2 linked regions of the Macaca mulatta genome follow. The protein of the gene in region 2 binds, or shares a complex with, the protein of the main gene of each other region. Links are inferred from orthologs where the notes say so. Each region holds a gene or a part of one and is shown on either strand. Other genes may lie near its edges. The genes, in order: SIMC1 and SLF2.

What was found.
Region 1: the proteins of SLF2 (region 2) and SIMC1 are in contact, whole or in part, in a cryo-EM structure (PDB 7T5P), measured with the Homo sapiens proteins. The link is inferred for Macaca mulatta from reciprocal best matches to the Homo sapiens genes SLF2 and SIMC1. Residues at the interface, in NP_060591.3 of Homo sapiens: His738, Val772, Leu775, Lys778, Asp783, Phe786, Gln790, Gly791, Phe792, Thr794, Ser795, Ala796, Tyr797, His798, Tyr799, Cys820, Ile821, Gln825, Ser828, Met831, Glu832, Ile835, Arg836, Asp838, Thr839, Ser841, Asp842, Ser843, Pro847, Lys919; in NP_001295125.1 of Homo sapiens: Tyr426, Arg428, Leu431, Lys435, Leu438, Pro440, Val442, His443, His444, Leu445, Phe447, Gln448, Arg470, Arg471, Phe490, Asp493, Pro497, Val521, Asp522, Lys525, Glu526, Tyr528, Met529, Met532, Lys533, Gln536, Leu537, Arg571, Asn658, Gln661.

What each region holds. Positions count from the first base shown.
Region 1 is NC_133411.1:185,180,870-185,184,787, reverse strand, and holds the start of SIMC1 (SUMO-interacting motif-containing protein 1), read right to left. Parts: upstream 2,673-3,918; 5' UTR 2,582-2,672; coding exon 2,453-2,581; intron 1-2,452.
Region 2 is NC_133414.1:112,989,007-112,992,824, reverse strand, and holds part of SLF2 (SMC5-SMC6 complex localization factor protein 2), read right to left. Parts: intron 1,490-3,818; coding exon 1,367-1,489; intron 972-1,366; coding exon 804-971; intron 1-803. UniProt on the Homo sapiens protein: Plays a role in the DNA damage response (DDR) pathway by regulating postreplication repair of UV-damaged DNA and genomic stability maintenance.

The sequences.
Region 1 (3,918 bases), on a different chromosome or scaffold from region 2:
AGATATGGCTTTCTTAAGTTCAAGCAAGTTACTTTCCCTTAGTCAATATTTATTTAAAAAAAAAAAAAAAAGAAAGATGTGAAAGTTGCTTCTTTTATCTCACTGCCTGTGAAGCTCAAGAGGGACAGGCCTGGGCTTAGAAACAACACAAAAAGTGGCAAAAGCTATCATTTATATGAGACCCTTTCCTTGCATTTGTCTCATTAAAAATTTAAAACCATCCTGCTAGGTAAGCATTAATGTTCTCAGGCTCAAAAGCTGAGAGCTGACAGAACTTTCCAAAACTCAAATAGTTGAGTTTGAGTTATGCTATGTTGGAGATATTGATTCAGAAGCCTCTCTGACCTCAGAGCCGTCAGGAAAAGCTACAGAAAAAAGGGCACTTGTAGACTTTATAACCTTGTAAGTCTCTCAATGCCTCTGATCTTTTACATGGTTATCATACCACCCTTATCTAACTTGCAAAAAAGATAAAACAAGAATAAGCTTGGAACTTTTAGAGAGCTGGAATAAGTATCTGGAGAAGCATGATTTAAATTGGGTACTGCTCTCTGGAACGTGCCCTTCATTTCGATTCAACTCAAAGGCTCCAGATCAAAATGCTTGCTTGAGTGGTCACAAGGGAGAGGAACAGTGAGAGAGCACACCCATGTACGTGTGTGAAAGACCACAAAAGACTAGGATAACGATGGCATCCGACCACTGAAGAGAGAAGCTGGACCAGAACGAGGGAAAATGGACAACACTTGGGAGGAAAGGAAGCAAGTGAGAAGGACAAAGTTAAACAGGTACTGAGAGAAGGGGCTAGAGGAATGAGGAAGAACTAGGAGGAAAGCAGTATTTTTTTCCTTCCACCTTTTCTCTCTCTACTCTTTTCCTTGATGATCTCAGTCACTATTAGGCCTTCAATACTCCTTTCTGTTTGCATGACTTCCAAATATCTCCACTCTTGCCTTTTCTCCAACTACTGAGCTGGCCACATCCATCTACATTTCCTATTAACACTGTAAATCCAACAGGTCCCACCTGAATTCAGCATCTCCTTCATCCCAAGCCTGCTGCTACTTTTATATGCACTTCTCTTATACTTGTCAAACATCCATCTAACCCATTCTCTCTCCCCATATTCTTTCAATCGTTCCTTCATCCAACAAATATTTATTGTGCATCATTATGTCCGCTACATTCAGCGACAGCCCTAGATATACCCATTCACTCATGAAGTCGGGTCATTTCTGTCTTGGAAATCTCTTCTGACTACTTCATGAGCTGCCTAACTCAACTAAATTTGTTACTAAGACGTACTGAGAATCCCTCTTGCTTGAAAAATAATTAACTAGTTAATATATTTTGAAAAATATATTAACTAGTTTTGTACGCTATTCATTCTATAGTGATCGTCTAGCACTTGGCACTGTACCTCGGGCACAGAAACCCAATGGAGGTTTAGGGACTGTAAACTAGCTGGAAAGGGAACAGGGGCCGCAGAAGCTAGGAAACGTCTTGAAGGAGTATTTGCATAGGAAGCATGGTAAACTGTATGATCTATACACATAACATCAGCTTGATAATCCTTGTGTTTCCGGGGGACGGCTCTGGGAGGCTGGGGAGATCGCTGGAAGCCTTCTGAGAGAAAAGCTCCACCTCCCACCCCTTGAGAAGGTCCTCAGTAACCACCTGATGAATGTATCACCTTATGAGGGGACCATGGATGTTGTGTTCGCCGTTGTAGCCCCAGCCCCTGCAACATCGGTCCGTAGTAGGGATTCAATCAACATCTATGCAGGATTCTCCAAAGGCAGATAATTCACCACCTCATGAATGAGAAAAATGAAAGGGTTCTGGGGGAAGCAGAAATAGTGCGCGAGGTTTCCTTCTCTGTTCCTTCAGGGCTTGGTACGGGGTAATTGCTTGCTGAGGAAATAAATCGCCCTTCTGCACAACTTCAAAATCGGGCCCCTCGCTCTGCAGTCAGGCCCTGGAGCGCGGCCACCATCTGGCCCAGGCCCGCGCTTCTCTCCCTCCCAGCCTGGGCTCCTGTTACCTCCCTGCACGCATCTGTGCCCACCACAGGCCCAACAATTACGGGCTCCCGCTTTCCTGCCTCAGCCAGGGCCAGTACACTCGAGCCCCCACGTCCCGCCGAGGCTCTGAGGACGCCCGCGGCCCCGGCCTGAGACCCCGGCCCCTGCAGCAGGCGCGCCAGGAGCTCGTCCATGTGCTCGCCCGCTTTCCAGCCGCAGTCCTCTCGGGCTTCAGCGTTGAGCCCGGGAGGCCCGGCCGCCCGTGTCCCTGCCCCGGCCCGCCGCGCTCCCCGGGGCCCGAGAGGCCCGGAAGGAGGTAAGGCGGGAAGTGGCTGCAGCTGTGAGGAGCAAGGGGGTGGGAAGGGGGCGGCGGGCCCAGCAGAGGGTTGCGAAGACGCGCGCCCCCAGACTAGGCGACGCTCACTCACCACGGTCCGGCGGGGCAGGGCGCCGGGGGTCCGCGACAGGGCCCGGCGCAGCCTCCGCGACCGGCCCGGGCGGGCGCCCCCGGAGCTCTCGGAGCCGCTGTCGTCGGAGATCACGATGAAGTCCTCCATGGCTGCGGGCCCCGACCGAGCCAGCGCGCGGGCGGCCGGCGACCCAGGCAGCGGCAGCGGCGGCGGCGACTTCGGTTCCTGCTTCTGAGGTGGCGGCGGCAGCGACAACCCGGGCCATCACCACGCCGGCCCCGCCCCGAACCCCGCCCCTCCCCGCCCCGAGCCCCGCCCCTCCCCGCCCCGAGCCCCGCCCCTCCCCGCCCCGAGCCCCGCCCCTCCCCGCCCCGCTGGGCTGCCAAGCCCCGCCCACCGGCGGCGGGCGGCTGGGGTCAGGGCCGGGGTCGCTGTGCTTCGCGGCGGCGCGGGTCCTCCCTTCCCCAGGAGAGAGAGAAAGAAAAAAGAAAAATGGAGTCGCCACTGGCTTCGGCCGGTGTTGGGGGCAGGCGTACGAGACCCCGAGGCCGCGGGGACTTCCCCACCTGCTTCCAACTGACGTGAGGCGCGCCCAGCCCCAACCTAGCCCAGGTGTGAAGCTCCTTCCGGACCGAGAGGGCCTTGACTGAGGGGGCAGGGAGAGGAGTCCTGGCCCCCGAGTGACGGAGGGTGGGTGACCTGGCTTCTGGCCGAGCTAGGGGAGACAGACCCCACTTTTTGGTGCAGATGCGCAAGTGCATCTGTAGGATAAATGCCTGAAAGTGGACTTACTGGTGCAAATGCCATGTTTTTGTAGTTTTGATAAATGATGCCAAATTATCCTCCTAAATTGTACCAGTTTTGCGGTTTCACTAACAATATGTGTCTCTCAGGAGTTTAAACTGAGATTTAGAGCAGGAGTGTCCCATCTTTTGGCTTCCCCGGGAAGAAGAATTGCCTTGGGCCATACATAAAATACACTAATGATAGCTGATGACCTAAAGGAAAAGAGTTGCGGCGGGGGGGAATCTCATAATGTTTTAATGGGCCGCTTGCGACTCAGGCAAGGGGTTAAACAAGCTTGGCGTAGACAGTTGTTCAGTTGGTATGAGGATCAGAAGCTGAAAAGGTGCACAAAAGAAGCCATGAAGCAGCAGAGGCCACGAATAATTAGACGTTGTGAATAGCAGAAGTTATAAAGGTGAAAAAGGTTGTCACTAGTGGAGGAATCGGTGGGTAGTTGGCTGCTTGTAGGGCAGGACCATTAAAATCAAGATAGGACCTATTGGTACACTAAATGTGGGGTATTGACAAAATTCTGCTGCTCAGGCTCCAACAATTTTGCCAAATATGTTAACAGATCCAAAGAATATGTGTTTAATAGGAGGGGGATTTGTTCCCAAAGGAATGGTTATCAGGTCTCTCTAAATACTGTCTAATGCAGTGTTTTTCACACTTTAGTGAGTATCAGAATCACCCAGAGT
Region 2 (3,818 bases):
GGCCTAAAGCTGATCCAATCTGTTGGCTAGGCTCCATATTTAACTGGTAGACAAAGCTATATTTGCTGGTAGTGTTGAGAGACAGCCTATCAAGTCTCAGACTGGGGAAGTACTTTAAAAAATTGGCAGCAAAACTGATGTGATCTCTCTAGAGCTGAGATATCATGCACTGAGAGAAATTAGATCAGTTTGGGCATTGTGGTGGAGATTACTAGCTGCACATCCCAGCATCTATTTTTCCCTCTCTTCTTGGTAACTGAACCCTGATTTGTAGCTGCGAACACTAGCTGCCTGAAATAAACATCACTCTCTGGCTTCCCTTGTGGCCAAGTGTGGCCATATTGACTAAGTTCTATTCAACTAACTTAGAGTGTGTGGAAATGCTGTGTGGAATTTCTGGGAATTTGAACTAAAGGATGGAGCTCTAATAGCACCCGAAGCTAGGTGCTAAGAATGCTGGAGAAGAAAGATTATATGGTAAAACTGGCACTCCAGCCCTGGACTTGCTACTTTTATACTTCTTTCAAATACACTTCTTGTTTAAACCACTATTATTTTGACAGTCACTGTTATTATATACTGATCTCAATCCTAATTAATAAAGGCATGCGATGTGTCAAACAACTATCCTACACTGCTTCCTATAATTAAAGAAAAAAACATAAAGATCACTAGTAATAAGAGGATTAGGAAACTTAATAGGTCATAATAGAAATTAACCTTTTAGAAGATTATATAAGTCAGAAGTGTTTTAGAGTAATTTTTTATACATATAAAAGTAAAATGTCTATTTTTCTACTTACTTAAGAATAAGTTTTTCTACAGCACTTTGTCCAATAAAACCAGAGTCTCTTAAATCCAAGGTATACTGATTGAAAATTTTTCCAGAATTGAGGAAATTAAATATTTCTTCACCTGGATGATGATCAGGAATAGCATCAATTGTAACTGAAAATTTCTTTAGAAATTCCCTGAAACATAAAAACAAGTCAATCAATACCAAATTGTTACACTACATATACTTTTGTATTTAAAAGTTGGGTGCAAAGAAAACTATTTTTTAAACCAATGTTAATCCCAAATTAGAAGACTAGCATGAGAAAAGTATGCTTTGCTTCTTCCACTTTTTGTAGCTGTTAGTCAAAAGCCACTAAATGTGTCTACGTGAAAAGAAATAACCAGGAAGAAAAATAAAAGATGAAACTTGATCCTAACATTTGCCTTTCAAACCCATCACAGACAGATTAGAAACCTATCATAAATTATTCACTAACAGCCATCGATGGCCCATTTATTTTACAAAAACAAAACAAAACAAAATGTAAAAACTTTAATAGGGTAAAATACATTATGAAAAATGCTATACCTGTGCTCTTCTAAGAGGCCATCCTCATCATCTGTACTGTCTTCTTCTCCAATTCTGATTGGGGATTTAATGCCTCGGCCTTGCCTTATGTCTTCTTGTAGTTGCTTCTGCAGTTCATCTAGCCTGAGAATTGGAAAGAATGTTATAACAGTTTAAGAATATTAAAAAACAGTCTTCAGTTTATATCTAAAAGCAGCACAAAGAAAACCCTTATTAAGTACCCTGGTATATGACAAATTTTGTTATACTATAGGTCAAATTATGTCTCCCAAATACATCATGATGTACAATTTTCATGAAAACAGATATATTTTAGGTGCTAGGTTTTTACCCAGTTACCAGTGTGGCATTAGAATAGTGTTCCATTGCATAAAAGACTTGAGGATTTCCATAAAGCTAGAACTTCAAGAATGATCTGTCCAAACCACTTACAGAATGGGAAAAAAACCCTGGTAAGTTAACTAGGCTTTCTAGCAGTAGTTGTCACTGTCATCATCATCACAACACCTAACACTTACCAAGCACTTAATATGTGACAGGCACTGTACTAAGGGCTTTACATATTAATTCTTTTAACCCTCACAACAACCCCATGTAGTAGTTTATACACCTTTTATAGATAAGAAAACTGACATTAGAAAAGCAAAGTAACTTGCAAGAGCTTGTAATGCAAGAATGTGGGATTCATAGCCAGAGAGTCTAGCTCCAGAGTCCTTGCTTATACTGCCTCTCCCAGATTAAGTTATTTTAAACAAGGTTCTTACCCCAGCCACAAACAGTGGATAAGTACAGCTGAAGAGTAAATAACTAGTAAATGTACTGTTCTATCGTTACAGAAAAGGGTCAATCATTTGATTAAACTAGTACCCCTATCTTTCATTTGTGAAGTGCTCGATTTTAAAGGAGGAACTTCAGATTCCATATCACAGATCACAAGAATTCATGAAATATTTAAAGAATTTTACAATACAGACAAGTTCTCTAATTAAATTCAGAAAGGAGGAAGCTTTTGAACTACTAATCATCTGAAAAATTCCTAAAGTTAGTTACTTGGTTATCAAATTTGAGATATGTAGCACATACCAACTTCTATGTAATCAAGTCAGCTAAGATGTTAGTGAAGTTCTCCAGGGTATGTTCAAGGACATTCCTTGAATTAACAAGGAATATATTTTTCCCCTCTTACTAGCAAAACCTGTCCATAATTAGTCACATAAATTTCATTAAGATCATTATGATTCTCAACTTTTTGATCTCTCTCTCATGTGTGTGTGTGGTGGGCGGGCAGTGTGGGGAGAGCGGTGTCCATCATCATTCTAAACTTTTTCCTCAAAAGAGTAACTTGATAGAAATATTTCAGAAAATTCTACCTGTGTGAACCCCCCCACCCACCAAACAACCCAATTAAAAACAGGCAAAGAACCTGAAAAGACATTTCTCCACTTGTATAACAAATGGCCAATAAGCACATGAAAATATGTTAACATCATTAGTCATTAGGGAAGGCAAACCAAACAATAAGGAGATACCACTTTACTATTAGGATGGCTATTATCAAAACAAACAAACAAAAAACATAGAAAAAAATAATGTGTTGGCAAAGATGTGGAGAAACTGGAACCCTTGTTCACTGTTGGTGCAGATGTGCAATGGTGCAGCCATTGTGGAAAACAGTGTGGCGGTACCTCAAAAAATTAAATGGAATTACCATATAATCCAGTAAGTCCACTTATGTGTATATATGCCCAACAGAATTTAAAGGAGAGACCTGAAGAGAGATTTGTATACCCATGTTCATAGCAGCATTATTCACAGTAGCCAAAAAGTAAAAGCAATCCAAAGGTCCACTGACAGATGACTAAAGAAAATGTGTTATAGACATAATACAATGGAATTATCAGCTTTAAAAAGAATGGAAATTCTGACACATGCTACAATATGAATGAATTCTGAAGACACTGCCCTAAATGAAATAAGACAGTCATAAAAGGACAAATATAATATCACTTACATGAGGTACCTAAAACAGTCAATTTCATAGAGACAAAGTAGAAGGGTAGTTGCTGAGGGTGGGAGGAAGGGGAGAATGGGGAGTTATTGTTTAATGGATATGGAGTTTCAGTTTGGAACAATGAAAAAGTTCTGAAGCTAGATGGTGGTAATGGTTGCACAACATATAAATGTACTTAATTTTTACATGTACACTGAACTGTACATGTAAAAATGGTTAAAATGGTAAATTTTATATGTATTTTCCATTAAAAAAAACACAAAAAATTCTACCCACACTTTCGATCTAGAATTTCAGCTATCAGATACTAGTTGTAATAAACAGAGAGGAATTTATATTAGTTACTCCAGTATACTATAAAAACCTGGATCTTTTGATCTACTCTATGAAGAAGAGAGCCCGTCTTACTCCTTTTTTTTTTCTTTTTTTTGAGACAGGGTC